Sus scrofa: one gene and its partners. The protein of the gene in region 3 purifies or fractionates together with the protein of the main gene of each other region. This does not show direct contact. Links are inferred from orthologs where the notes say so. Each region holds a gene or a part of one and is shown on either strand. Other genes may lie near its edges.

What was found. The genes of interacting proteins can lie anywhere in the genome.
Region 1: the proteins of AP2S1 (region 3) and BMP2K purify together in Homo sapiens (affinity purification with mass spectrometry; 4 studies listed by BioGRID and IntAct, counting the BioPlex papers as one, with this or other methods). This does not show direct contact. The link is inferred for Sus scrofa from reciprocal best matches to the Homo sapiens genes AP2S1 and BMP2K.
Region 2: the proteins of AP2S1 (region 3) and AAK1 purify together in Homo sapiens (affinity purification with mass spectrometry; 4 studies listed by BioGRID and IntAct, counting the BioPlex papers as one, with this or other methods). This does not show direct contact. The link is inferred for Sus scrofa from reciprocal best matches to the Homo sapiens genes AP2S1 and AAK1.

The regions. Positions count from the first base shown.
Region 1 is NC_010450.4:138,701,597-138,709,212, forward strand, and holds part of BMP2K (BMP-2-inducible protein kinase), read right to left. Parts: intron 5,490-7,616; coding exon 5,293-5,489; intron 4,291-5,292; coding exon 4,192-4,290; intron 3,052-4,191; coding exon 2,867-3,051; intron 1-2,866. UniProt on the Homo sapiens protein: May be involved in osteoblast differentiation.
Region 2 is NC_010445.4:72,923,731-72,931,346, reverse strand, and holds part of AAK1 (AP2-associated protein kinase 1), read right to left. Parts: intron 5,176-7,616; coding exon 4,943-5,175; intron 3,725-4,942; coding exon 3,549-3,724; intron 1,497-3,548; coding exon 1,392-1,496; intron 1-1,391.
Region 3 is NC_010448.4:52,698,518-52,706,806, reverse strand, and holds the start of AP2S1 (AP-2 complex subunit sigma), read left to right. Parts: upstream 1-3,608; 5' UTR 3,609-3,762; coding exon 3,763-3,765; intron 3,766-6,552; coding exon 6,553-6,702; intron 6,703-8,289. UniProt on the Homo sapiens protein: Component of the adaptor protein complex 2 (AP-2). Adaptor protein complexes function in protein transport via transport vesicles in different membrane traffic pathways.

The sequences.
Region 1 (7,616 bases), on a different chromosome or scaffold from region 3:
ATTGTCTGCTCAAATATCCCTTATATTCTTAGAGCCAAACATTTAACCCCAGTTCTCACCTCCCACTGACTTAGGCCTAAGCAGGGATGTTTGCTTACAGATCACCTTTTAATATGTTACAGAACGAGATACTCAACATATAATCCTTGGTAAGGATTTACCTAAACCAGAAGTAATATCAGTAAAGTAGCACTGAGGCACCAAGTGTGGCTGGAGCAGTGCTGCCACGGAAAGTTCTGTGTTCCCAACTCCTATTGGTTGCGTATAGTCATTTCTACTCATCCGACAGTCACCGCTGTGCTGTTCCATATACACCCATCTCCCTCAACGCATCGGTTCAGGAGACTGGGGTGTAACAAGTCTTATACACTTTCACAGATACCCAATCCCATAGCATCTGAACTGTGGTATGCAAAATGATTTTGATGATAACTCAACTTTTTTTTTTTTCCAGCTGCCCCTGCGGCATACAGAAGTTTACGGGCCAGGGATCAAATCTGAGCCAGAGCTGTGACCTACACCACAGTTTCAACAACACTGGATCCTTAACCCACTGTGCAGGACCAGGAAATGAACTGGTATGCCTTCAGAGACAAGCCAGATCATTAACCCACTGCACCTGATAACTCGACTTTTTCATTTTAAAGTTACACAGAAATTAGAAAATGCACTTATCTAACACATCACCTCTGTGATTTCATCAATATCACTGAAGATGAGATTAAGTAGGCAGTGCTATGATAATTCACATAACTTAAAGGACTCAGCACCTTGCATGCCGACGTGTGCCTCAAATCTTTACTCAACTTCCTTCACAACTAATCAGAATTTTAGACAATACATAAGCTACAGGACACTGGACTGAATTCTCTCATCTCACACAGGATTTCCAAGTCATGGCTCCATTCTCATCAGAGACACAATTGTGCTTCCAGAGGCCGGTAATCCTTTAGAATACGAAGTATACGTGAGTGAATATGTTGTATCAGAGAAAAGAGTTTAATATCTTCGTGTTTTCCAATTACATACATGGGATGTAACTGACATTTTTTATTCTAGTTAACATCAAAAGTAAAAAAAAAAAAAAAAATCAATCATCTAATTAGTACAGTAGCCTCATCAGTATCCCTAAGACACTTACTTATAGGTATGTCTTTTTTGTAAATTTATCAGATTGCTACTTGTATTTCACAGATTATATTTTAGTGGCTTTGTTGAAAATGTATAATACTTAGTATTATTTACAACAATGCTATTGATCTATTAAAGAAAGGAGTGGGATCCTGCTGTAGAGCACAGGGAACCATGTCCAACCACTTGTGATGGAACATGATGGAGGATAATGCAAGAAAAAGAATGCGTATATATGTACAACTGGGTCACTTTGCAGAAATTGACAGAACACTGTACATCAACTGTGATAAAAAATTGTTTTAAAGAAAAGAGTGTTAGGTGGATAAATAAAAAAATCTTAACTAGAGTAGGCAAATAAAGAGTCTGGCGAACACTGATTTGGATCTTTAAACCAGCCTCTGATTTTCTGCCCTGCTTCCCTTAAAGGCACACCTGTCCTAATCCACGCACATCACTTGTGACCTAGGAAAGCTCCTCAATAAACCTGTCTTTTCCCTCTTCCTTCCCTCTCTCCTTCAATCCCCCAGCCCTTTCTTGGTCACACAGACGAACACAGGATGGGTGGCCTACTGCAGCACCTGTACACTCTAGCCTCTCTTGACACACTCAGTGAACACTAGGCCATCAACAGTGCTCTTCTGCACACTCGACTTGGCCGAAGCCTGTAAACACCCTCTCCCTGCTGTGTTTCATATCCTAAGATAGTGCTGTCTGAGAATTTCTTTAGTGTTCTAATCACTGAAGCTCTAACAGCTACTTCCCCCTACGTATCTAAAAATACCAGCAAGGATTCATAATGATAAATAGATTCTTAATTACAAAGTCCTAAAGCATTCTTCACAATAAATCTAGCTTGAAAAAACCTACATCACAATTCTTTAACTTACTGTAATGTTTTCAATATGAACTATCCATGAAAAATAACTCTAACTAATGTATGCGAATAACCAAAATAGACTATATGCTAACATATACGCTTGCAGTATTATATCATCTTTAAAAAGAGCCAAGCAGAGTTCCCGCTGTGGCACAGTGGTTGATGAGTCCGACTAGGAACCATGCAGGTTCGATCCCTGCCCTTGCTCAGTGGGTTGAGGATCCAGCGTTGCCATGAGCTGTGGTGTAGGTTGCAGACGTGGCTTGGATCCCGCGTTGCTGTGGCTCTGGCATAGGCCGGTGGCTACAGCTCCGATTAGACACCTAGCCTGGGAATCTCCATATGCCATGGGAACGGCCCTAGAGAAGGCAAAAAGACAAACAAACAAACAAAAAAAGAGCCAAGGGACTCACTAAAACTTTTTTATATTTGTTTAAATTAAACTAAATTAGCCAATCTCTGAGTATTATACCATCAAATTAACTGGAAGTAATAACATGTAAGTAGAAAAAGTTAAATTAACTGTCTACGGGAATTTTTTTTTTAATGACTAAAGTAGTTTGTTAGGGTTTTGTTTCTACTGAAATCACAAAGAATGTCTTAAAACACATAAGCTAATGCTTTTCTTAGCCTGAAATGCTGCTAGATGTTGCTAAGCCTCATCTGCAAATAACGAACAGCAGAATTAAGTGACAGAAGTGGAAAGAGGGATGGAGCTGCAGAGACCAGAAGAGGGGACCAGTAAGAGAAAAGGGGCGCTATACAGGAAGGTGGGCTCCAAGGCAACCCCGGAGCCCTCGGCAGCTCCACTTCAAGTGAACACCCTTCCTGTGCGCTCAATGCACAAATACTTGCCTATTGGCACAATGAGAGGAGTCCATTACGGTTCCAACCTGAGCTGGGAGTGACGACGTGTAGGACACCAAGGCTGGTGAGAACTCTTGAGGGGAGGTGAGATACTCTGGTGATGCCTGCTGTGGAGACTGCTGACGTTGAGCGAGCATTTGCTGCTGCAGGAAAGCCTGCTGATACTGCTGCATCTGAAACAAAAAATGTCATCATACCAAACAACGCTCAAGGTCAAAGAAGCCCTGTCAGCAGCACATCTGTTTACCATTCTCCTTCCTTTTCCTTTGGCAACAAAATCAGAAACCTGAAAAACAATTTTTATCTGAAGGAGCAGCTTGCTACTAGAAAACCACAGCAAGACAAAATCAACCTATTTAAGAAGTTGTTTAGGAGTTCCTTCTGTGGAGCAGCGGGTTAAGGATCTGGTGTCATCTTTACAGCAACACGGGTTCAATGCGTGGCACAGTGGGTTAAGGATCTGGTCTTGCCGTAGCTGTGGAGTAGGTCACAGCTATGGCTGGGACTCAGTTCCTGACCTGCAAACTTCCACATGCCACAGGTACAGCCAAGAAAAAAAAGGAAGTTGTTTAACTGGACTTATTGTGGTGATCATTTTATAATATACACAAACACTGAATTATTATGTTATACATATATATAATTTTGTCAATTATGTCTCAATTTAAAAAAAAATTTTTAATTTAAAAAAAAGGTTGTGGAGTTTCCTAGTGGCTCAGCACGTTAAGGATATGGCACTATCACTGCTGCGGCTCGAGTTCAGTCCCTGACCAGGGAACTTCTGCATGCCACAGGTATAGCAAAAACAAACAAAAACAAAAAACAAACGAACAAAAACCTGCAATGTTAGGCTCACCTGGCAGGATTCAAAAATCCTCCTTTAAACAGTTTAAGAAAAAAAAATAGAGTAGCTTAAAGTCACTTGGTACAGTGGCTACTGTAAAAAAGGTCAAACTATTTTCTGAAGTAAATACGATTTTCCTTTAGGTTGCTTTCCTTTTTTTTTTTTTAACTCAATAGACGTTTGCCAAATGGAGACATATGACAAAAGATCCTGGATAATCAATCATTTCCTCATAACGTGAGAGAAGAGAAACATACTATCAGCCAGTTACGACGTGCCAAGTCCACGTGCTGTATTGCTCAGTCCAATTTAAACTGGCTTGAGAATGCGTGACCGGCTTTGATAAAATACATGTTAATGAACTAGCTTGAGCTGACTTTATTAAATTCTGAATAATATCATTCATACTGTGAATTCCAACACTGGAATGTGTACTCAGAGAGAACGCTAGAAACTATATAAAACTTACCATTGCGGGATAAGGCGATGCAGACGCTTGTGGCTGATACACCGAATGCATTAAAAACTGCTGTTGCAGTATCTGCTGCTGTTGCACTGCATGCTGGTACTACAATTAGAAAAACAAATTCATCGATACTACTCATGCCTTTTTTGTGCCATGGCCTTTTCTTATTTAAAGTATTGACCGTAACATAACAACAACGTGGGTATTCAAACGTCCAAGCACTAACGTGAAAGACCTACAGTCAATAAGCGACTACAACTTAAATCTGCATTTTGGAAATGGTTTCAAAATTATCAATGAAACATAAACTAAAACCATGTCCAGCACAGTTTACGGATGTCTGGGAGAAACCTAAACCTGCCACACAGCTGATGAAGACCCTCAAAGTTAATTGTGTCCGGGAATCACCGCGGTCAATGATGCCCTGCTCTCCTTCAGCGCTATCTCCCGGCCCTGCAGTGGCACCAGAGGAAAGGCACACCCATGACAAGTGTCAGGTATCAACTGATTCAAAACTACTTCGGGCCATGATGAAGGCATGAGGACGAGAGTCACTAAATTTAACACATTTTAGTGAAACCAGAAATGGGCAGGCTCTGATGCAGCAAAGGACAAAATCAAATGTAAGGTCATTATTTCTAGTCTCTTCCAACTCTAAATGCCACCCTTACACACACACACACACACACACACACTCAACACAGGCTAAAAAAGAGAAATTTTTAAAAAAGAACAAAAACCTACGACAGTATTACTTCTGAAGGTCTAATATCACCTTTCCAACAATAACATTATTGGTCTATATATCTGAACTCAAAGCATAACCTGAAAAAGGTAATATTCCTCATAAGCTGCAGGACACCTGTGAGGCCAGGTGACAGGATGAACATTCTTTGCTTCACGAAGCTGTGAGGCAACCTGTTTCAATAGGGTATCTCACAGAATGCAAATAAAATGCATATTCTTTCATAATCAGGAAACTGAGCAAAATGTTTATTTCAGTCTGGAGTTCAAGGTAGAATTTATGATACAAAAAGGAATTCACTAATATTCAAGAGCTGCCTAGATCTCACAATCCATGTATCTTAGTAACCAAAGAGTTACCTGCTGCATATAAGCATCCTGAAGTAGCTGCTGCTGCTGCTGCTGCTGCTGGTGAGGATGACGATGCTGCAAATGAAGTTGCTGCAATCTCCAATCTCCCTGCTGTAGTTGCTGAAGTACCCTATGCTGCTGCGGAGGCTGCTGAGTGGGCCCCTGACCCAATAAGCTCTCAGGGCTGTTTCCAGGTCTCAGGGCTCCTGAAAAAAGGTTCCAAAAACTTGTATTCACACACTGATGATTTCAATAAAATGGCTGGATTTCAAAACATCATTTCAATAATCACTAACCAAGGCACTCATATCCTTATGGTATAGAAACTTTCATGTACATATAGTCTAAAGGGATTATTTACTATAGTTATAAGTACCCGTGAAAGTTGATTTTGTCAACTACAACTCACGAACAAGTCATTTCATCTTTCATGCTTCATTTCTCGACCCATGATACACCAGCATGGGTCTGTGTCTTTGATGACATGATTCTCTGTCTGGAATGCCACTTTCTACCCATCGCCAATCTTCTTGTCCTTTCAAGTTCAGCTCAAATCTCTTTTTCCTTCACCTAACACTTCCACTCAGCTTGTAACATCTTACTCCGCCTTGCACATGTTAATTGTTTACATGGCTTCTTCGGAACAACAGCCCCTAAGGGATGGGGTAAAGACTTATTTATTTGTTAGGGCTCCAAAGAACGTTTTATAACAGATGTTCAAGAAATGTTACTATAGCGAATCCATTAACACTTTGTCCTAAATGGGTATTTATTTATAAGCTTTATAAATTTGACCACAGGAGTTCCCGTCGTGGCTCAGTGGTTAACAAATCCGACTAGGAACCATGAGGTTGCGGGTTCGATCCCTGGCCTTGCTCAGTGGGTTAAGGATCCGGCGTTGCCCTGAGCTGTGGTGTAGGTTGCAGATGCGGCTCGGATCCCGCGTTGCTGTGGCTCTGCCGTAGGCCGGTGGCTACAGCTCCGATTCGACCCCCAGCCTGAGAACCTCCATATGCCGCAGGAGCGGCCCAAGAAATGGCAAAAAGACCAAAAAAAAAAAAAAAAAATTAATTTGACCACAGGAAAATCCTATGAATAAACTTTTGAAATACATGAGAACGGATGAGACACACAACACCAAAAAGAAGAAATACACTGTAATTTCTATATTCTCTTTGAACCAGCTACTGTAATTCAAATATGACTATTTAACCTGAAGGGGAGAAAAGGAGGGAGAGAACAAGGAGGGCGAGCAGGACTCTTTTTCATCAATTTCATGTCTTCATCCCTCCACAGGCCTTGAATACACACCTTTGTGAAAATCTTTTTATAACTTTTTCTAATTCTTCCAATTATAAGAAAACCCATGTTCATTTTAATTATTCTTGACAATATTTACTAAAATATAAGGAAGAAAATGAAAACCCTAATTCCTCCACACAGCATAGCCACCATTTGCCTTTGGGTATCTTTCTTTGCAGGTGGAAGGAGTTAAAAAGCTCAGGTCCTCAGCTATACATGCATCCTGTAAGGCCCTGATGCCCAGCTGGAGAACACTGTGGCGGCAGGTGACGCCCAAACACACACGGATGATGCACTAACTCCAGGAGCTCACCTCTACCCTCACGAACTGCGGCTTCTCGCTAGTGTTATCAAGGTGAGCAGTGCTCCCTGGTTCTCCACAGAATATGCCAGAGAGCCCCAGACAGCATCAAAGCTGCCCTGCATGAACACAACGCCTTCGAGCACAGCACTGCATCCTCACACCACTACTGGTCCCCATCTTGCTAACAATGAAACTAAGGCCCAGAGAAGTTAAGTGAATTCACAAGTAAAGCTAAAGGCAAATGATAAACTGAAAGAACGCACTTACAATGTATTTGGCAAAGAAATAAGATTCAGAATACATAAAAGTAAAATCTTCAGAGCGATAAAAAATAGAGACAAATTCACAGAAAACTGCAAAAGGAATATTAAAATAAAACCAAAAACGTTTCACCTTTCAGTAGGGAAACACTTTTAAAAATCAGTATTATCAACTGTTGACAAGAACAGGAATGAAAAGACTCACGCTGTTGTTGGCAGCAGAGGATAGACTTTGGAAGTCCTCTTTAGATGGCAATTTGGCAAGTATGTAATAAACTTTAAATGAGTATACTTTTTAATATTTTCCTCAAAGGCTCAGACATGGAAATCAAGAGTCCATTTTAAGGATGTTTACCACGATGCTATTAGTACTAGCAAACACTGGAAATAACCTAAATGGTTGTGTCAACTATGGTACCTGCACACTGTGGAGCATCACATGCCTCTTAAAAACTGCATGGTAGAGC
Region 2 (7,616 bases), on a different chromosome or scaffold from region 3:
ACAAACTGGGCAACAGAAAGCTCCTCCATAATACCCCAAAGTAAAAACCACACAGGCCATATTACCACAATGAAATTAAAATATATCGTAAGTAACTCTTGGGTAAAGAAATCAAAACTAAAATTTAAAAACATTTAGAAAACAGCAAGAATAAAACATCATTACATATCAAATATTATGGAATAATAGCTAAAATTCTTATCAGAAATAAATGTATGAGGTTAGAAAAACTACTCACATACCTAAAGAAAGCAGGAAATTAATCAATATAATTAAAAAGATCAATTTGGAAGGTTATCAAATTCTATATATCCACAGAAAACATACTCAAAACCTCACATTCATTGCTGAGGAATTTATAACAGTAAAACACTGACTTCAAATAAATGTCTAAAAAAGAAGCACTTGGTACCCTGGGTTTTTTTGACCTTTTGTTAAAATTAGTGGTTTTAATATTAAAAATACTGATTTTTAATATGGAAAATAAAAGCATTTAATATCTCTTAAAAAAAAAAAGAAGCACTTGGTTAAATACATTAGGCTATCTCCATATAGAGGAATTTAATGTAGATATTTTAAAAGTTATATTTGAGGAGCTTCTTTAGTGACGTGGGAGGAAACATGCCAAATTTTGTGAGTAAAAAAATTAAGCTTTAAAATATGACTATAAAGATGCAGATTAGAGTCATACAGTGAGGCTTAAAATTGTGTACAAAATTGTGGTCACATGTATTTTTGTAAAGGAGAAGATTTGTAACTTTCCTTAGATTCACAAAGATATCTGTGACCCTAAAAAGGTTAAATGCCATTAACAAACACCAAAATGGTATCATGGTGCTAATTTCTCAGGGGTAAGATCAAGAGGTTTTAACTTTCTTCTCTATGCTTTTCTTTACATTACTAAGTAAGTACACTATTTATTAATAAAAGGGAAATTTGGTTTTTATGATTACTTCTAGGATTTTTTTTTTATGGTCTCCCTCTCCCCATAAGCACACACACCCAAACACTCACATGCCCCAAAACACAGTATAGTAGAGTCTCAAACACAGAGCCACATCTAATTCTTGGAATTCTGCAAGTTATTCCAAAGAACTTAAGCAACTACAAGAGAGTGATATTCCTGAAATTTGGAAATATTTGCTTAAAAACATGTTTGTGGACTTGAGAGAAGAAATCCTGTGTATTACTGCCAGATCATCTTGCTATTCTAATTCAAAGTGATTCTAGATCTTGTTTTTTATTCCTTTTTATAGAAAATCTTCTGAATACAGGAAAATATATTACCACTAGGCTCTGAAGCTCTTGCATGCTAGGGTTATCTGTGGACTGGACACCAGTGTGAGGGTGACAAGAGTAAGTCTTGTGTTTCAGGTGTTAGTCATACTAACCAGTTCCAGCAGCAAATGAGGAAGCAGCAAAAGCATCACCCTGGGTTGGTTGAAAGCCTGGAATCAAACTCTCGGCTGAGCCACCAAGCTTCTCAGGATGTTTGCCTGGAGGAACAAAACACGACTCAGTGCATTCCAGCAGAATCCCAAGATACACACACATGCTGGAGGTGAAGGGCTCCTCCAAACTGACATCTAGGTGTGACCCCTTTTTTTTCGTTTTTGTCTTTTTAGGGCTGCACCTTTGCCACATGGAAGTTCCCAGGCTAGGGGTTGAATTGGAGCTGTAGCCACTGGCCACTGCCATGCCAGATCTTAGCTGCGTTTGCGACCTATACCACGGCTCTTGGCAACGCCGGGTCCTTAACTCACTGAGCGAGGCCAGGAATTGAACCCACATCCTTATGGATACTAGTGGGGTTATCAATGAGCCACAACGGGAATGCCTAGGCTTGACTCCTTTTATGCTTTGTGGCAACACCTTGGCTAGTCAAAGGTCCTTGTCTAATCACTGCAGTAACTGAGAAACAGCTGAGGAAAGAAAGGAAGTCTAAAGCCCTAGAGTTCAAGCATGTTATTCAGAGCAGAATGCCTCCAGCCTTCACTTTATCTCTACAGAATTCTAATGAGTTTGAGGATCTGTCGTCCATGCAGTTAAGAGAGCAAACGAGAAGAGAGATGGCAGTGGTGAGATGCTATAAGGGATGGGCACAGTGATAATGGCTTAATGTAAAAACCAAGAACAAGAAGAGAGACAGGAAATCATTAAAAATAGGCATAAGGGGAGTTCCCGTCGTGGCGCAGTGGTTAACGAATCCGACTGGGAACCATGAGGTTGCGGGTTCGGTCCCTGCCCTTGCTCAGTGGGTTAAGGATCCGGCGTTGCCGTGAGCTGTGGTGTAGGTTGCAGACACGGCTTGGATCCTGCGTTGCTGTGGCTCTGGCGTAGGCCGGTGGCTACAGCTCCGATTCAACCCCTAGCCTGGGAACCTCCATATGCCGCGGGAGTGGCCCAAGAAATAGCAACAACAACAACGACAAAAGACCAAAAAAAAAAAAAAAAAAAAAAAAGGCATAAGAATTGAAAAACTTGGGCATCACTTAATTGAGTGCAAAGTACTAATTTTCAATGGTCCATGAAGGTATTTCTGTTTATAGTCTAGAACAGTAACTGGTACACATAACAAAGTGAAAGGGATGTCAAAGAAAGTTAAAACCCATGCCCAATGAAGATTAAAAAAAAAAAAAAGGCAAGAAAGTATGTGGATTTTTAAAAGACATCTATAAAATAATAAAGCTAAACGTTTGGTCAAAGTTCCTATCAGTCACTCTGTTCTGAATGTTCCTTTACCCTGTGCTTTGGTCTATACCAAAACTGTAACATATTCTTTTTTTTTTTTCTTTTTGTCTTTTTGCCATTTCTAGAGCCGCTCCTTCGGCCTATGGAGGTTGCCAGGCTAGGGGTCTAATCGGAGCTGTAGCCGCCGGCCTACACCAGGGCCACAGCAAGGGAGCCAAGCCGCATCTGCAACCTACACCACAGCTCACGGCAACGCCGGATCCTTAACCCACTGAGCAAGGCCAGGGATCGAACCTGCAACCTCCTGGTTCCTAGTCAGATTCGTTAACCACTGCCATGACGGGAACTCCTACCATATTCTGAGCTGTGTCATACCGAAGAATTTTCCTAGGGTGTGTGCCCGGGAAAGCGTATCCTGCCTTCCAAATCAGACTGTGGGTTTGGGGGGCAGAAATGGTACCTTCTATTTATGGTCAGCCAGTAGTACCAGAGAATTCTGATCACAAAGACTCAGTGTCAACACGCGGGTGCACTCTCATGGGTAAGCAGTTATGACTTGCTGGGATAACAAACCCACCCAGGACAAGGTACCCCCCCGATTCCTGAAGGTGCTTGACACTGTCATCCTCTAGGCAACCAAGTCTTCCCTAAGGTTTCCCACTCTCCTTGCTGCCCCTTAGACCAGGGTTTCCCGAGGATGGAAAGACTCTGGTGCTCTAGGAAAAATACACACTGACTTGTGCACATACTTCAAAACCGAGTCTCTGAAAGAAAAGAAAGACCCGAGCCTTTACCTTTACATGGGTATCCCTCTAGTATTAAGGGTCAATAATCCCAAAAAGATACCAGTTGCTCACCTTCCCCCAGCTTGGCAAAGTCCTTGTTTAGCAGTTCTTCAGCTGTGAGTTTGGAGAAATTGTCGTCGTCAAAGGGGTTCCACGTAGAACCTTCTGAAGGATTATAAACGTTTTGCTGGGAGGCCCGAGGGGAGCCTGAAGGAGTGGTGGTTGCAGACCTAGGTAGGTTCCCACCCCCACGAAATAAAAAGACATATAAAGGTTGAAAAGGGTCAACCTATTTTCTCTGTGTTTCAAGATCAAGTTATTTTCTGAACCAAAACATTATTTTCCTCAGTACTTTTCTCAAAGGGCTTTCCATGGCAGTGGAAAAGTTTCCACAGACACCCTTTCCAGTGTGTGAAACAAATGCCTCCCTTTTTTCATGATTTGCTATTTCCCACTACTTCTTTCATCTTTTGCTCAGATTTTTGGTCTCATCAGTTTTTTTCAGTTCAGGATCCCAAAGCAACCTGCTCCTGGGCACATGCATCCTGTAGTGACGGCTGTAACATTCGCAACAACGGGCCCTAGAGGGGCTGGGGCTGAGGCCTATTCCCACTGGCTCACATCTGTCAGGGTCCAGCATGCACAAAATTAAGGACCACCATCAGTGGATACCATCACAGTTCAAGAGAAATAAAGACAGTTACCACTATCATGTGCCCCTAGGTATCACGACCTAATTTTTTTCTCAAGTCTCTCTTGATGCCCTTTGCATTGAGCCAATGACTTAAAAGATTTTTAACTTCAGTATATGGTTTTAGGAAACAGAGTCTGAAACTGCATTTACTCAACCAACACTCATTACCATCTACTTTATCTCAGGCATGGAGCCTGTCACTGGATTTCCAAAGGCTGATCAGGCCTCAGTGCTTGTTTTGGAAGAGCCCGCAGGCTAGGCCAGCGACACCTACAAATAACTAATGATAATACGGTGTGATACATGCTCAAAAAAGGGTTCAGATAAAATTGTGTATGATACCAGAGGAAGGGTCAAAGAAAAAATTAACCTCTGACATGGATGCTGATGAAGAAAGAAGGAATTCCTAGGTGGACAAGGAAAAGAGAGGCAGTTCCACGAATGTGACACATCAGGCCTTAGTCTGTTAACGGGTGAATTCAGATATTATTCTATAGGCAATGGGAAGCCAATGAAAGGCTTTCAGCATGGAGAGATTTGGTCACATCAAGAATTTAGAAGGCACTCTGTAGGTTATGGGCTGGATGAGAGAATGCAAAGAGTGAGGCAGGTAGGAAATTATTTCTTAAGATCAGTCAGATCTATGCACTATAGGAAAACTCGGTTTCTTATTAAACACAGACACACGCTATTACATACATGTCTACATATATATGCAAAACCCACATGGCAATGGCCCACGGCAGCCCTTGTCCACAAAATCAGTACATACTTGGACTTATTGAGACTGGCCTCAGCTGCAGCTGCCTGGAGCAGCTGGGTTGATTTGCTGGCAGGGACCCCGAAGACCGCACTGTGGGTCACGTCACTGAGAATCCGCCTGTGCCCAGCACGCTGGGCCTTGGGCGAGGATGGAGGAGTGAGAGATCCGAGTTTCTGCCCCTGGATGGCAGGAGGTGGCGTTGTCTGAACCTTTGGCTGTTGTCTTACCGGGGCCTGAATCTGCTAGGAAGAGAGATGAAAGTGTTCCAAAAAAGGGGGAGGGTGAGAGGAAAAACAATAAGCAGATAAGCATAACGAAAAATGCCACATATGATTCACTTGGCTCAGTTTATCAATAACCCCTAGAAAGAAAAAAAAAAAAACCTAGACTTTGACAATCTGAGCTGCAACCTGGAGACTGATACCAGCATGGTTATTTACCTGGTGCTTATAGATAAATTTCAATCTTTATCAGCAATAATACATAGGGTAACCATAGGCAACTCAACCCAGACCAAAGACTGCAGAAGTTATTTCTAGCTCTAAAGATTTAGAAAGTATCCTAAAAGGATCATCTGCTGCTTTAGGAACTCATTCAGAATGGTAGGCATTCTTCTACCACAGTCACAAGCAAATGAAGGCACATCTCTAGCTAAAATACAGCTGAGCTGAATGATTTCTGCTAAGAGATCCCCTACTTTCTGACAGAGCTCAGACTACTAGTTAGAAAAAAGTGAGACAGTATTTCTCTAAGATTAATAAATGGCAGTACTTTTTGGATTTTGTTAACACTATTTCATTGATAGGATGGGTATTACAAGATTCTATTTCTGTGGCACCCCTAAGGAAATGTACAGCTTTGGAGCAGGTGGATTAACCTGTTGCAAACTTCATTTTGGAAATGGCACCAAAGGACCAGGTAGAGAGTACAATAAGAAAGGAAGAAAAATAAAAGTCTTGGATCTAATAACATAAGAACTCTTGAGATGCAGGCCTTTTCCAGAAGGCAGGACACATGGTCACCACAGAAAAACAAACTGGATGGAAAATCCTCGTGGCCACATGGTGAGTTTTTAAGCATAAGTCATGATCTACAAAGTGCTATAGCAAGAAAAAAATAATATTACGAAGGCCACCTAACCCTTTTCTTTTTGTCTTTTTAGGGCCCCAACCACAGCATATGGAGGTTCCCAGGCTAGGGGTCCAGTCAGAGCTATAGCTGCCAGCCTGCGCCACAGCCACAGCAACACCAAATCCGAGCCGGGTCTGCGACCTATACCGCAGCTGACGGCAATGCCAGATCCTTAACCCACTGAGTGAGGCCAGGGATGGAACCCGTGTCCTCACGGATGCTAGTCAGATTCGGTTCTGCCGAGCCAAAACAGGAACTCCCCCTTTTCTTTTCTTTTTTCTTTTTTTTGAAATTTTATTTTTATTTATTTTTTTACAGAACAAAATACATATATTTAAACACAATTATATTCACACAGATTATTATATCATGGATCTTAAGAAACAGATTGACTCCCTCTGGAGAAGTAGAATGGAAAATATGCTGAGACAAATAGGAAATTTATGCTATACTTTATCCCATTTTGTATGGCTTTCATCTTTACTATTTAGTATTATCTATTACATTTCAATTTTTCTTTAAAAATTAGCATTATATTAAAATTGTGTATATTATGCAACTAAAATTTATAAAGAAGGAAGCCTTATATACCATTAAATATTTTACATAGCATAATAAAAAGAATAACTTAGCTGGTAAGAATAACAAAAATAATATACCCTCTGAAGATAAGTAAAATATAAAATGCATAAATTGGTTAAAAAACAGTGTAACTATATAAATATGTCCTCACAATTTGTTACATCTTATTGATTCTTCAATATAGGCATTACACCATTCTAGGTGATATATGATAAACAAGACATTAAAACCTTACATTGTACCATGGAGAGAAATGGTTATTAATAATACAGTTGTAGAACTGTATTATTTAATTGTACAGTTGCATTATTTAATTATAATTATCATAAATTCTTTGATGGAGAGGAAATCAGAATCAGTTCTAAGAAGACTTCAGCATTCCAAGAATGATGTCAAATGACCTCCTTCATGGTGGATTATGCACTTATTTACTATGAGATATATTTCTTCTCCAGAGATTCCTTGTTTGTGTATCAACTGTAGATTTTTGGTTTGTAGTTATTCCAAAGTTTTGATATACGCATCTATATGTATATGAGATTGCTTTAAGTTGTTCTCTTAATTGCAAGTTCATCTCCAGTATTCTGCATTTGTACCCACCTCTTCTCAGGATTTCTGATTTTGGTGGTATAACTGTGCATGGATGATTTCCTATCTTTACTGTATATATACCTTTACTGGTGGGCCTTGTCATTTGCGGAATTTTTGTTTCCTGTTGCTGTCTTTTCTTTTCTGCCTAGAGAAGTTCGTTTAGTATTTGTCGTAATGCTGGTTTAGTGTTGCTGAATTCTCTTAGCTTTTGCTTATCTGTGAAGGTTTCGATTTCTCCTTCAAATCTGAATGAGAGCCTTGCTGGGTAGATTAATCTTGGTTGGAGGTTTTTTCCTTTCATCACATTAAGTATATCATGCCACTCCCTTCTGGCCTGCAGAGTTTCTGCTGAAAAATCTGCCGATAACCTTATTGGGGT
Region 3 (8,289 bases):
AGAGAGAGGAAAAGAAAAAAAAGAAGGTAATATCGCTGCTATGAACAGTCCCGAACATGTGTTTTGATAAATATTTGTACTCATTTCTGCTAGGTATTTCGCTAGTACCTAAGAGCGAAATTGCTGGTCACATGGGATGCACATGTACTCCTTCCCCAGCCAGGTTCCCAAAGTGGATGTACCTATTCACATCCCTGGAGACATCCCCAAAGCCATGTATAAGAATTTCAGGAGTTCCTATCGTGGCTCAGTGGTTAATGAATTTGACTAGGAACCATGACGTTGTGGGTTCGACCTCTGGCCTCGCTCAGTGGGTTAAGGATCCTGCGTTGCTGTGGCTGTGGTAGGCTGGCGGCTACAGCTCTGATTAGACCCATATGCCGTGGGTGCGGCTCTGGAAAAGAAAAAGAAAGAAAGATAGAAGAAAAAAAAAAGCCTTCCCATCGTGGCTCAGCAGTTAATGAACCCAACCAACATCCATGAGGATGTGGGTTCAGTCCCTGGCCTTGCTCAGTGGGTTAAAGGATCCGGCAGGAGTTCCCATTGTGGCGCAGTGGTTAATGAATCCCACTAGGAACCATGAGGTGGCGGGTTCAATCCCTGCCCTTGTTCAGTGGGTTAACGATCCGGCGTTGCTGTGAGCTGTGGTGTAGGTTGCAGACACGGCTTGGATCCCGCGTTGCTGTGGCTCTGGCGTAGGCCGGTGGCTACAGCTCCGATTGGACCCCTAGCCTGGGAACCTCCATATGCTAAGGGAGTGGCCCAAGAAATGGCAAAAAGACAAAAAAAAAAAAAAAAAAAAAAAAGATCCGGCAATGCTGTGGGCTGTGGTTTAGGTCACAGACTCGGCTTGGATCTGGCATTGCTGTGGCTGTGGTGTAGGCTGACAGCTACAGCTCTGATTCGACCCCTAGCCTGGGAATCTCCATGTGCCACAGGTGCGGCCCTAAAAGAGACAAAAAGACAAAAAAAAAAAAAAAAAGAATTTCAGCTGCTCCACGTTTTCCCAAATACACTTGATATTGTCCATCTCTCTCGTTTTTTCGTTTTTTTTTTTTTTTCCCACCACTGCATGCAGCAGCTTTGATGTGGGATTTCACTTCCCAGACCAGGAACTGAACCAGGCCACTGCAGCAGTGAAAGTGCCGAATTCTAACTGCTAGACCACCAGGGAACTCCCTGTCCATCTTTTTTTAATTGGAAGTGCTGGGACTGGTCTTTTCTGTCTCAAGTTGTGGAATAACACCTCAGACTCCAAACCATCTGGGCCATGAGACTCCTTTTTCTATTTAGGGCTGCACCTGTGATATCTGGAAGTTCCAGGGCTAGAGATTGAATCAGAGCTGCAGCTGCCGACCTATACCACAGCCACAGCAACATGGGATCCAAGCTGCATCTGCGACCTACACCAGCTCAAGGCAACACTGGATCCTTTAACCCACTGAGGGAGGCCAGGGATCAAACCCGCATCTTCATGGATACTAGTCAGGTTCTTAACCCACTGAGCCACAGTGGGAACTCCCAAGCCATGTGACTCTTAAGAGCAGAGACAAAGTCTATTTTCCTGCTGGGACACTCAGTCTAACTCTGTCCCCAACTCTTCAGCTGGGCCAGGTGTCTCTGCTATAAGCAGTTGTGGTAGCCAGGCCTCCGAGAGGGACCGCTGCTGTTCTCACCTGGTGTTCAAGTCCCCTCCCACCTTGGACAGGGCAGTTCTGTGTACTGATAAGATATTGTGGAAATGACAGGGTGTGACTTTGGCCAGGTCATAAAAGACATTGCAGGCAGCTTCTGCCCTGCCCTTTCATGGGTCATTCACTCTGGGGGAAAATAGCTGCCGCATGAGGACACTCTGTGTCCTTGGGGAGAGGGCCACCTGGTGAGGAACAGAGTCCTGCCAACAGCCAGCATTAATCAACACACCCTACGAGTGAGCCACCTGGGAGTCAGATCCTTCAGCCCCAATTGAGCCTTCAAATGACTGCATTCCCAGCTGACATCTTTCTCTTTTTTTTCTTTCTTTTTCTTTTTTTTTTTTTTGGGAGGGGGGGCTGCACCCAAGGCATGAGGGATCCAACCTGAGCCACAGCAGCAACCAGGTCCTCAATCACTAGGCCACAAGGGAACTCCCCAGCTGATATCCTTTTTTTTTTTTTTTTTTGTATTTTCTAGGGCCGCACCCGCGGCATATGGAGGATCCCAGGCTAGGGGTTGAATCAGAGCTGCAGCTTCTGGCCTACACCACAGCCACAGCAACACCAGATCCGAGCCTCGTCTGCCACCTACACCACAGCTCATGGCAGGATCCTTAATCCACTGAACGAGGCTAGGGATCAAACCTGCGTCCTCATGGATACTAGTTGGGTTTGTTACCTCTGAACCACGACGGAACTCCTAATTTACCTTGCTTTCTTAGAGCAAGTCTCCCCTCAGTATCCATCCCTTTACTGAATGCTTACTATGTGCCACCATGTTCTAGGGGATGTAGATTGTTAACAGGTTCCCTGCCCTCAACGGAGGCAACACACACACAGAGACACACACCCCAAATAAAATCATTAACAGCTGTAAAAAGGCTTTAAAGAAATCTAACTGCTGACCTAGAGAATGTGGGGGGTCGAAGAGGGGAACTTCGTATGTTGGGTTCCCCCATATAGGACTGCGGAGGTGATGTTTAAGCCAAAGGAAGAAAAGAGGTCAGCGATCAAAGAAATGGGGGAAGGCAATTCCCATTGTGGCTCAGTGGTAAGGAACCTGACTAGTATCCATGAGGATGTGGGTTCAGTCCCTGGCCTTTCTCAGTGGGTTAAGGATCTGGAGTGGCTGTGAGCTGTGGTATAGGTTGCAGATGTGACTGAGATCCTATGTTGCTGTGGCTCTGACACAGGCAGCAGCTGCAGCTACTATTCAACCCTTAGCCTGGAAACTTCCACACACGGAGGGTGTGGCCCTAACAAACAAACAAACACATAACACATACTATATGTCCAGCACTGGGCTAAGTACTTTGGAAACTTACGGATGCTTTAAAACAACTCTACTGAGGTGACCCCTTGATCAACCGTCTTTTACAGTTAAAGAAGTTGAGTTAAGAGGTGAAGTTGCTGGCCCAGAGTCACACAGCTAGGAAATAAAGGCACGATTTGCATACAGTTCTGGCTTCCAAATTCATGCGCTTAAGCCACTGTCCCACATAAGTCGCTTAACATATTCTAAACAAAGTACTGGGTGACCATGCTCCCCCAACGTAGTTTCTTATTGATTGATTTTTAATTTATTTGTTTGTTATTAAAATACAATTAATTTACAGTGTTCTGCTAAAACAGCTATTCCCAGTACGTCCTTCTTGCCTTGTTGGGGGGGCGGTGGGAGGGAGAAGGAAGGCTGTCCGAACTACATTTCCTAGAGTGCAACCCTTGCCTTGCTGGCTGTCCAGCATTTCGGGAATTGTAGTCCTGCCAGGAGACATTCACCCACGGCTCCCAGAATGCATTTGGAGACCGAACCTTGCGCGAGGAAAAGGATAGTCGCGTAGCATGCTGGGACGCGGGACAGGCCCATTTCTCTGGCGTGCCGCTCAGACGAACGACCCCATTTCTTCGGACTACAATTCCCAGCCGGCTGTGCGCGAGAGAGGGCGGGCGAGTTCTTCTGCCGGAAGTCCGCTCTAGCCCCGGGTGCCCCAACAGCCGCCAAAGCCCGAGCCTCCCAGAAGCCGTGGGACCGGGGCCTCCCAGAAGCTGGGGTCGGACGGGGGTCGCCATGGTAACGGGGGCGCGCCCATACTGGGGATGGGCAGAGGGTGGGTCCATGTGCAGGTACTCGAGGCGCGGTGGGATACTGACAAGCCCCCCCGGCCGCGGTGCAATGGTCTGGGCCAGGCGGGGGCTCTCGAGATTGGGGCCGACCAAAGGCCGGGGAAGGGGACTGGGCGGCGGTTCTGGACGCCAGAGTGTAACGGGGCTCTCAAGGCTAGGGGGCTTTGGAGACCGGATGACAAGAGGAGGGGTCTGTGCGGGAGGGGACATTGGAGGTGGCTGAAGGGTTTTGAAACTGGCAGGCAACTCACGAAGAAGGATCTCCGAGGTGGGGAGAAGGAATTGGAGGTGGCGAGGGGGCATCCCAAGAAGAGAGCTCTCTGGGAGTGTGACCGGATAGTTGGAGAAGGATGGAAGACCTTCGGCTGGGAGAGACGGGGGTCTCTAGAGGCAGGAAGCTGACACTGCAGACGGAGAGGGGGTGTTGGAACTGGGCGGGATACTGCTGATGAAGGAGACAGAATTTCAAGAGGAAGAGACTGGACACTGGAAACGGGAAGTAGGCAACTGTAGGGAATGGGGCTTTAGAGTTAGGGAAAGCGTGCTAGAAAAGGGAGAAGGCTTGGCGTAGGGAGTGGATACTAGAGATGTGTGGGGAGCAGTGGAAGAGGTCACGGAGGGTAGGTAATAGGCACAGGAGTGCGAGAGATGGGGATGAGGCTTTGGGGGCAAGGACAAGCCACTGGATTTGGTACCCCTCCCCAGAGATGGGGAGACCTGACAGAGGGCATTGAAACCGAGAAAGAGGAAGTCGAAAGGGGACAGCTCTAGGGTAAGGGCTTGGAGACAGTAGGTTGGGGGACATAGAGCGGGGACATCCGAGGGTTGAGGGTGCAGGAGGGAAAGGGCTTCTGAGGGTGGATTCCCTGAAGTGGGGAGACTCTAATTGGGAGGAGAAACAGGAAGAGGTGCATGAGGGAACTGGGGGGGGGGTCAGAGGCAGAGCTCTCCCTCAGCTTTTCAGGCTTGCTTTTATCTCTGCCCTCAGTGTGCCCCATATTTCTCTGGCTCTGCCCCAGGCAGTGGCTGCCTGGTGTGGGTACCCCCACCTCCACCCCGTGCCCTCTCCCTGTCTCCCAGGACCCCTGCCTTGCTAGGAAGTGGTTTTCCCTGGCTCAGCAGACAGTGTTCTTGAAAGGAGACCATAATATCCTGTTCCCATCCAGCTTGATTGGTTGGGGAAGGAGGAATGGTGTGTGGAGAATGAGGCTTAGGGAAGAGAATGGACTCTATGAGAGGGTGGAGGCTGCCACACACACGTCAGGGGAAGTGGGTTCAAAGCAAAGCCCTTGGATTCCCAGCTCTGCTTTCTGGCTGTGAGACGTCCTTTCTCTGAGCCTCAGTTTCTTCATCTATCAAATGGGCACAAGAGTGCCCATCTCAAACAGAACGGGGCCCAAAGGCAGGCTTCCTAGCAGGATGAAACTTGGGCCATGGTCTTCTCAAAGTCAAATGATAATCAATTATAATATTACTAAGAACTAATATTGGGGAGTTCCCTTGTGGCACAGTGGGTTAAGGATCTGGTGTGATTACTGCAGCGGCTTGGGTTGCCTCCATGGCGAGGGTTCAAGTCCTTCGTTCAGGAGCTTCCACAGGCTGTGGTCTTGGCCAAAAAACCAACAACCTAATATTTGTATATCACTTCATGTGCACTCATCACGGTACTATAAGTCTTTTTTTTTGTTGTTGTTGTTGTTGTTGTTGTTGCTATTTCTTGGGCCGCTCCCACGGCATATGGAGGTTCCCAGGCTAGGGGTCCAATCGGAGCTGTAGCTGCCGGTCTACACCAGAGCCACAGCAACGTGGGATCCGAGCCGCGTCTGCAACCTACACCACAGCTCACGGCAACGCCGGATCGTTAACCCACTGAGCAAGGGCAGGGACCGAACCCGCAACCTCATGGTTCCTAGTCGGATTCGTTAACCACTGCGCCACCACGGGAACTCCTAAGTCTTATATTTATTAACTCGTGCAACAGTCTTATGAGGGATGTATTCTCATTATGTCCATTATACAGATGGGGAAATCGAGGTCCAGAGAGGTTCAGTGATTTGCCCACAGACACACAGCCAGCAGTGCCAGGATTCATGCACAGTCTCCAGCCTGAGTTCTTAGCCACTTGATCAAATGCCTCTCTGTCATAATAGCTAATTTTCTCGAGAGCTCCGTAAGCAGTAAGCGTTATACTAAACACTTTTGTCATGAACTTGTTCAGTGTTCATAGTCACCTGAGGAGAGTTGAGCTGACGCTTCAGAATCACAAAAGCACATTTCCTAGCCATCACTGATGATAATTGTAGCTGACACCGAGCATGCCTGCTAGCATCGGCCATTGGATTAAATTGATAAACCTATTTAACCTTCAAAACACCCTGACAAGATGGACCTTCTAAGGAAACTTGTTCCGCCAGTGGGGAAACTGAGGCTTAGAGGGGCAGATCTTTTGTCCCGGGTCCTGGGAACAAGAACTGGCAGAGCCTGGCACTCAGCGCAGCGCACGTCCGCCAGTGGAAGAGAAATCCCTCCACGGGGGTGGGGGGAGTGGGGGGTGGTGGGAGGGACTTGGGACCAGAGCCTTCGGCCAGGCCAGCCTGGCTGGGCTCTGGGGAGTGGCTGAGATGGGTGGACCTGCTCTCCCCTGTGGGGGCGGGTGGGGCTGTTGGGCTGGGCCGCCTGGCACTGGCCCACCCTCCCCATCTCTCTCCCTTCCTCCTCCTCCCTCTGCCCCCAGATCCGCTTCATCCTCATCCAGAACCGGGCAGGCAAGACGCGCCTGGCCAAGTGGTACATGCAGTTTGATGATGACGAGAAACAGAAGCTGATTGAGGAAGTGCACGCCGTGGTCACTGTCCGAGATGCCAAACACACCAACTTTGTGGAGGTGATAGGACCCTCCCCCCTGCCTCCCACACTCCCCTGCTTCCTTTTGACCCTTCCTGCTCAACCTTGTGGGTTTTTTTTTTTTTTTAGGGCTGCACCCACAGCATATGGAAGTTCCCAGGCTAGGGGTGGAATTGGAGCTAGAGCTGCCAGTCTATGCTACAGCCACAGCAACGCCAGATCCAAGCCACATGTGCAACCTACACCACAGCTCATGGCAACACTGGATTCTGAACCCGCTGAGTGAGGCCAGGGATGGAACCTGTATCCTCATGGATTCTAGGTGGGTTTGTTACTGCTGAGCCACAACAGGAACTTGCAACCTCATGGTTCCTGGTCAGATTCATTTCCTCTGTGCCACGACAAAACTCCTCTGGTGCCTTTTTAAAACTATTAAAATGTGGAGTTCCCGTCATGGCTCAGTAGTAACAAACCTAACTATTCTTTATAAGGATGCGGGTTCGATTCCTGGCCTTGCTCAGTGGGTTAAGGATCCAGTGTTACTGTGAGCTATGGTGTAGGTCACAGACTTGGCTTGGATCTGGCTGTGGCTGCAGCTCAGATTCGACCCATAGCCTGGGAACGTCCATATGCTGCAGGTGTGGCCCTAAAAGGCAAACAAAACAAAACGAAACAAAAATGATGGTCCAATGCCAGTCAAGGATCTTGCATTGCCGTGGTTGCCACGTCTCTTTGGTCTCTTCACTGAGATGTCTCCAGCTTTAATTCCTGCAGTATTAGTCTGTTCAAGAGACCAGGCCGATTGTCCTGTAGACGTCAACAAATATTTATCAAGGGCCTCCTGTGAGTGGAGCACAATTCTAGGCACTGGGGATACAGCAAGGGACGTGGCAGACACCAGTGCCTCCCCTCGGAGAGCTGACAGCTCCCATTCTAGCCAGGGGGAAACTCTTAGTAAAGATGGCGTGTAGCAGATGGTGATGAGTGATGGGGTGGAGGATGGAATTGCCGGGGTGTGTGCAGGGGGAGGTGGAATGCAGGTGTAAATGGTTTGGCCAGGAAGCCTTCATTGAAACGGGGACATTTGAGGGAGGACCTGAAGGAACTGAGGAGGGAAAGGAGATGCTCTCTGAGAGGAACATTCCAAGCCCAGGGAACAGCAAGTGCAAAGGCCCTGAGGCAGCGGGAGTGGGCTGGGGCATTCCTGGAATAGCAGGAGGGCCAGGGTGTCTGAAGTGGAGGAAGCCAGGGAGGACATCGGGAGCAGATCAGATCGAAGATCAAATGGAAGCAGAGGGGGCAGGACTTTGTGGACCACGGCGAGGCCTTGGGCTCTTACCCTGAGTGAGATGGGAGCCACGGGAGGGTTTTGAGCTGCAGAGGGCTGTGGGCTGACTCAGGCTTTAGGGTTCCCTCTCCAGAAGGCAAGAGCAGAAGCAGGGGGAGGTGACTTCTGTGGTCCAGGTGAGGGTTGCAGGTGACGGGCACTGGCTTGGAAGCGGGGTGGGGGTGGCGTGGAGCAGTTTGGTGGCCACGCCAACTGATGGGCCAAGGACTGGATGAGTGTTACAGAAAGCGGAACCACCAGTAGGGGACGATATCGGGCTGTTTCTTGGCTGCGGCCGAC